Linked DNA regions of Tribolium castaneum. The protein of the gene in region 1 purifies or fractionates together with the protein of each later gene. This does not show direct contact. Links are inferred from orthologs where the notes say so. Each region holds a gene or a part of one and is shown on either strand. Other genes may lie near its edges.

The links.
Region 2: the proteins of proteasomal ubiquitin receptor ADRM1 (region 1) and Prosbeta1 fractionate together in Homo sapiens (co-fractionation; 3 studies listed by BioGRID, with this or other methods). This does not show direct contact. The link is inferred for Tribolium castaneum from reciprocal best matches to the Homo sapiens genes ADRM1 and PSMB6.

The regions. Positions count from the first base shown.
Region 1 is NC_087396.1:16,648,270-16,652,069, reverse strand, and holds proteasomal ubiquitin receptor ADRM1, read left to right. Parts: upstream 1-1,399; 5' UTR 1,400-1,557; intron 1,558-1,792; 5' UTR 1,793-1,809; coding exon 1,810-1,915; intron 1,916-1,964; coding exon 1,965-2,191; intron 2,192-2,239; coding exon 2,240-2,445; intron 2,446-2,497; coding exon 2,498-2,769; intron 2,770-2,815; coding exon 2,816-2,967; intron 2,968-3,014; coding exon 3,015-3,239; 3' UTR 3,240-3,273; downstream 3,274-3,800. Other genes in the region: Ogg1 (N-glycosylase/DNA lyase), read right to left, coding at 3,274-3,332, 3,378-3,800. UniProt on the Homo sapiens protein: Component of the 26S proteasome, a multiprotein complex involved in the ATP-dependent degradation of ubiquitinated proteins.
Region 2 is NC_087396.1:11,001,495-11,004,654, reverse strand, and holds Prosbeta1 (proteasome subunit beta type-6), read left to right. Parts: upstream 1-1,550; 5' UTR 1,551-1,643; coding exon 1,644-1,715; intron 1,716-1,772; coding exon 1,773-1,840; intron 1,841-1,891; coding exon 1,892-2,023; intron 2,024-2,070; coding exon 2,071-2,345; intron 2,346-2,392; coding exon 2,393-2,520; 3' UTR 2,521-2,564; downstream 2,565-3,160. Other genes in the region: eIF2alpha (eukaryotic translation initiation factor 2 subunit 1), read right to left, coding at 2,661-2,825, 2,878-2,993, 3,045-3,160. UniProt on the Homo sapiens protein: Component of the 20S core proteasome complex involved in the proteolytic degradation of most intracellular proteins. This complex plays numerous essential roles within the cell by associating with different regulatory particles.

The sequences.
Region 1 (3,800 bases):
GCGCAATTACTATTTTTGTGATAATTTTCACAGTGATGCTAATAGGCATAGATTAATAACAATGAAATAATCACTGATAGTCTCACAATATTTTGAACTGTCTAGTTTAACCTTTTTTTTAATTGATATTTGAGAAATGCAAATCGCAAACTACCCAAGTCAATGAATGTATTTTATTTTGTTAAATATTACAATATCCATGTTAGAATATTTTATTAACTAACTTTCATAATGTTGTTAATTTAATAACTAAATGTAAATTATTAATATATTCTACTTATTTAATAGTTGTTTTTATTACTATTTCCCGTATTAAGACTACAGAGGACTATAACTTAGAGGACAAAATGAGATACAAAACCGCCTGATTTTCTGAACCCAGAAAAATAGTACGGTAGAGTAAAAATGTAAAACTGACGGCGTATCGAGCATTACAACGTCTCGGCGCCAAATCATTTTAAATTAATTTAAATTTGACCATTGCACTAATTACTTGAAAAAAATGCAGAAATGTTGAGCCTTGCACTGACTGAGAAAGACTGACGACTAAAATTTACATAATAAACATAAGACAAAAATTATTGAAAATGTGCTGTTGGTCCCGTATTTTTCAAGACGATGCGAATACAGTTGAAGAAGTAAGAAAAATGTTCAAAAGAAATTTGTAGAGAACTAAATTTCCTTTAACAGTCCGCGAGATCATATGTCTATCGTCAATGGTTTAGGCCCCAAAGACGCTGAAGCAACGAATTCGTCTTATTTTACCAGTGGTCAAGTTACGGAAAGTTAATTTATACCTAAACCGTAGAAGATATATATCTAATAAATATGTGACGGTGCAAAAAGGATTTTCGCTTAGAATTATCAATTTGCGTTCCACCTTATAATTTTACGTTTGCTGCGAATACGATTACAGAAACAAAAAAAGTGTAAGAAACTATAAAAAAATTAAATTTTCTATAAAAAAGTCCACAACACCATAATTCTATCTTCAACAGTTTAGGTATAAATAAACTTTCCAATACTTGACCACCGACAAAATGAAGCAAATTTTGGGGCCTAAATAGTTGGACACAGGCATATGGTCTCGCGGACTTTTTTGTAGAAAATTTAATTCTCTACAACTTCCTTCCTAACATTTTTTGTATCTGTAACCGTATTTGCAGCCTTTTGAAATAAATGAGGCAGAGTGCAAATTGGCAAAAGTTAATTTATTTTTTTTACGAATGGTTTACGATAAAAGTTTTGCATTTTGGTTGTCTTACTATTAAGATTTAATGCTCCATCTACCTGTAATTTTTGTTTGCTACGCGAAAAATTATAGGTGTTATTTTAATCAGGGACGTTGTGGCTGTAGGTTTTTCCCCGATCAGTTTCAAACCTTCAAAATGTTGGCGCCTTATGGAAGTGTCACAAGTTCCAACCCATCCAAACTATCCCTAAGGTTACCACCTCCTTTGTGGATTTTTCCAAGTGAAACAAATCATTAGGGACACTAATACACAACTCCCAACTTTGTGAAATAACATTATTTCAAGTACATTTTAATTACAAAACGTAAGTATATCTTTTAAACATTAAGTTAGAAATATATTTAATTTTTTACTAGAAAATACTGATATTTTAAATTTGTTGCTATATTACGTTAATTACGAATTGATATAAAATTTGGTGATAATTTATATATCATTTGCATCTGCTTATTCTATTTTATTTTCAAAAATTTGTATTAATTTAAAGCACAAAGACATTTTGTCTTGTCATCATTCCCTAACCTCACTTTACTGTCTAGAACAAAACATTGCAAAAATGCCTGCTGGAGGTGCATTATTCGGCAGTGCCGCTACGGGCCCCGGTTCAACTGGCGGTAACAAACACTTGGTTGAAGTACGGGCGGGCAAAATGAGTTTGAAAGGTAATTATCAAAACTCTTCAGTAAGCTCCCATAATCAAATTTTTGTTAGGTCGCATGGTGTACCCTGACAAACGCAAGGGTCTTCTCTACGTGTACCAAAGCGAGGACTCTTTGATGCACTTCTGTTGGCAAGATCGCACCAGCGGTATTGTTGAGGACGACCTCATAATCTTCCCTGATGATTGCGAATACATTAAAGTGCCCCAGTGCACCACTGGAAGAGTCTATTTGTTGAAATTTAAATCATCCAATCGCAAATTTTTCTTCTGGTTGCAAGTAGGGCGCCCCTTTTCTTAATTAATTAAATCACCAATTAAACCATAGGAGCCCCGCACTGATAAAGACGAAGACAACTGCAAGCGCATAAACGAGTTGTTGAACAACCCCTCAAGCGCGGTCCAGTCGTCGCAGTCCCCGGATCAGGACTTGCAGTCTCTGTTTAATAACATGTCGCAATCCCAACTCATGCAATTATTTGGAGGCGGCGTGGGCCAGATGGGGGGGCTGTCGAGTCTCTTGGGGACCATCAGGTAACGTATTTATAATTACGCTCAAACGCATAGTAAAAACTATGACACTTAGGGGCCCCAACAGCGGAAGTGCTCGTACTAACACTACCCCCGCTATAACTCACCGTACCACAGTCCCAAGCACCCCAACCACCAACACCACCACCACAGCCGTCAGCCAATCGCCGGCCACTCCGCAGACAACTACAGCCCCCACGACAGCCCCGGGCGCCCCCCGAGCCAACCGGTCGTCGGACTCACCATGCGGGCATAAAATTCAGTTATCAGACTTGCAGAATTTCCTGCAGGGGATTTCCCCAATTCAAGCTTCGTCTCAACAATCTGGTAATCAAAACAATTTTGAAGAAAAAGTGTAATAAAATATTTTTAGTTGATTTATCAACTGCTTTGACTGCTGAAGGACTGTCCGGGATTTTAAACAATCCGGGGGCTATTCAGGCCCTGCAAAATCATTTGCCGGCCGTTGAGGGTGACCCCCAAGACGCCTTGCGAGCAACATTGAATTCGCCCCAGTTCCAACAAGTGATAAACAAAAATTAATAAAATTTTGTTCTAATTATTTTTTCTAGGCCGTTTCCCAGTTTTCTAGTGCTTTAGAGTCGGGACAGTTGGGGCCGGTTGTGTCTCAATTGGCGGTTAATCCGGAGGCGGTGGCAGCGGCGGCGCAAGGAAACATGCAAGACTTTATGAAAGCCTTGGAAAAAACTGAAGGAAACTCGTCAAAGGAAGAGGATAAGGAGAAGAAAGGCGAGAAAAAAGAAGATAAGGATGATGATCACATGCAAACTGATTAACTAAATGTATTAAACTGAGTTTATTGAATAAAATTTAAAATGAGATTAGTTTTCGTCGGTTTGGAATTTTTTCAAGTCGGCGCAAAAAAGGACCTAAAAATTTGACTGCATTTTTTCACATAACTATTGACCACTTACTTACAGTGTGTGCCCAACCTGCCAGAGGGCCGTACAGCTCCCGAAAGTGGTCCCCAATGTCTTTATAAATCGTCGCTGTGACTTTTTTACGTTTCGGTAAATGTGGCATATAAAATTTTCTCGCAATTTGGTAAACATGCGTGTCGATAGGTATTGTCCCCAAGTGCCCCAAAGACATCAAGCAAATGCAGTCCGCCACCTTAGGGCCAATCCCAGTTAAAGTCATTAATTTACTCTTTGATTCCTCATAGGGCAGTTTTTTCAAATCGTCAAGCCATTTTTCGCCACCTTCCTGCATTATTATTTTCGCTGATTGATTTATGTACTTAGCCCTGTATCCAAACCCCTCCTTTTTTAAAACCGACTCGACCTTATCATCGGCTAAAGAATCAATTTTGGGGAATGAATAATACGTTTGATCTT
Region 2 (3,160 bases), about 5.6 Mb from region 1:
TTTAATGTGTTTTAAAGACTTCAGAAAACGATTTAACGTGATTTTTTGGATGTTTTTGTGATCAAACATCTCTACTTTTATATGGATCTTTTATTTGAATCTAGTGTATAGTGTGAATGACAGTGTTTTAATGAAGGATGAATCAACTTAAGGCAAATTAAGGTAAACGTTATTGAAAGGTGTCTATACAACAATTAATTGCGATTTCTAGATATTAATATAATCATATTACACCAAGAAGGATCACACAAACTTAGGAGATGAAGACCGTCCTTGGAGATGATAACGGTTCTTGGGATGTAATTGAAAATCCCATGAAGACGAGTTAAATATCATGTGCAGTAATTAATAGGTATATCATAATAATAAATAAATTTATTGTAGTTGCGAAGCTAGTATTTTGTGAAAGCAGGGAGTTTAGGACTTGCTATGGTTCAAGGTTTTCAAATTCGCCATGTCCCTCTATGTCTTAATCTTTTATGTTGTTTTACACAATGTTATAACGCCTATGCCTGTTAAAAAAACAAGGTTTGTCCTTTTTGTGATTGCTTAATTTAGAAACTAAGCGAAAAAACGTATTCTACAAGTATCATACAAGTTAATCAATATTAAAGCCTACTATTATTATAAATTTAAATGATTACATGGTAGTTTTAATCAGTTAACTTCCAGTGATAGTTATGTATATCAGATATGTGGGTTTTTATTTAAAATAATTTTAGCACACTTGTAATTCTCTTGTGTTTGAGTAATTTACTAATAACTATGATGCAATCGAGATTACTTTTAAAAAATTTCAAAACTTATCAAGAACTTTGACATCAAACTGTTAAAGTACGTGTTAGGGCCGCTTTTACAAACGTCCGTAAACCTTATAACCGCGAATAAATTTCGAAAAATAGTTGTTTAAATTTAGCCTTAAGGGACTTAAAAATTGGACTATTGTCAAAGGTTACAAGCAAAATTTTGATATTTTTTTGCTTTTCTGAACAGTCTGTAGACAAGTAATCAAACCAACAAAACTGATGTATTTATACAGACTGATCCCGAAATACTGTGTCTGTTAGCAATCTGAATTTAAATTTTAAAGGATACCAATAGTGTACACTTTCAGGTAGCAATTCAATAATTTAATCTGATGCCAACATACTCAGTTTCTCTGGATCATTGTGTATATTTAGACAATGTATTTACATATATTATTACATCTGAGTATGTTTATGAACAACAATTCGAGTTAAATTAATTTTGCCTATACATTCCAGCACGTTATTATTTTTTTAATAAATTTTTATTGGAAAGACTTTGTTTCATTTTATTAAGCGATGTTAAATGTTTTTGTGCTATTGCAACTGTTACAGATGCTTTTTTATTAAAATGTCTCGTAACAGTGCATGAGTACAGAAACATTTAACATTTATAATTCTTTAAATTTGGAAAATAAATAAAATGTCCTGTTTGAATTTCCCGCTATTATCGAATTAGTTTGTTCTCCCCAGGTTAGGTGGCGCTTTCGCGAAAAAACGAGGGGTAGACAGAGAGATTCGCTTCTTCCTCTCTCTTATTCTATGGGCGACACTGTTATTGTCAATCAAAAATTCTCTTGTTACCGCTTTTTACTTGTGAATTAATTTTCCCGTAAAATGCCACCTGTAACAAGTGATTACGGCATGAATGCTGAAAGTGACTGGATGAACGCTGCCCACAGCACTGGTGTAAGTTTTTCCCCGAAAAATTCGGTGAGGTTAGGTCCCCATGACTTGTTGTTTTAGACCTCTATTATGGCAGCGGAATTCAATGGGGGCGTAATTATTGGGGCCGATTCTCGAACCACTACGGGGTAACACACTCAATATATCACTATATAAAAAATAACCCCCACTAATTGTAGAGCATACATCGCAAATCGTGTCACAGACAAACTGACTAAAGTAACCGACCATATTTACTGCTGCCGCTCTGGCTCCGCGGCCGATACCCAGGCTATTGCGGACATTGTGGCCTACCATCTAAGTTTTCATGGGTAGAGATAATTTTAGCTAATTTTTTTATAAAAATTTTGGTTTGTAGAATGGAGTTAGGGGAAGAGCCTTTGGTGGAGACAGGGGCTGCGGTTTTTCGCGAGTTGTGTTACAACTATCGTGATTCCCTAATGGCCGGTATTCTGGTTGCGGGTTGGGATAAACGTAAAGGGGGGCAAGTGTACTCAATCCCCATTGGAGGCATGTGTGTGAGACAGCAGGTCTCCATTGGGGGTTCAGGCTCTAGTTACGTGTACGGGTACGTTGACGCCAACTATAAACCGAACATGTCGAAGGAAGAGTGTGTTAAATTCATTACAAACAGTAGGTTATTTTTTCGTGAGAAATTTTTTCTAACTCAGTTTTTACAGCTTTGGCACTCGCAATGTCACGCGATGGTTCTTCGGGTGGTGTGGTTAGATTAGGAATTATTACAGAGGAGGGAATCGAGCGCAGAGTGGTCTTGGGCGACCAACTGCCAAAATTCTTTGAGGGTTAAATTGTATTTTTTTCTTTATAATAAACACATTTTCACCTTTACAATATTTTATTGGCTTAAAATATTGAATTAAACCACAAGCTTCAATATAAAAACTTATAATACACATGGTATTTAATCATAAAACGTTTGAGGTTTGTTTAATCTTCTTCAGGTTCAGATTCATTATCATTCTCATTGTAAACTTGTCCCTCATCTCCGTCTTCTTCATCGTCGTCGTCGCCCGCAACTTCAGTGTTTTCCAATTCGGCTCTTTCCATTTGTCTTTGCAGCTCAGCTTCATCGGTAGCTGTCACAACTTTAGGCTAAAAATTTACGTAAAAAGCAGGTCCTAAACAAGGAAATTAAATCACTTACAGCCATCTGAACGTTAAAAACGCCACCTAATTCAGAAATTGTGGCTTTTATTTTCTCAATTGCATCGTTTAGTATTTTCAGCCCGTCTTGTTTTTCAGGCGTAGAAGTCGTCATTACTAAAATTACACGGATAAATAATTAATTCTAGTTGGAAATGAGTTTTTTACCGTAGAGAGGAGGAGCAATGAGATTGATTTTAATTGGCAATTCATCAGTTGAAAGCGACAAACCGGACTTCAAGGCTGTCTTCACAGCGTCAATTCCTTCATAGCCGTAACATGCA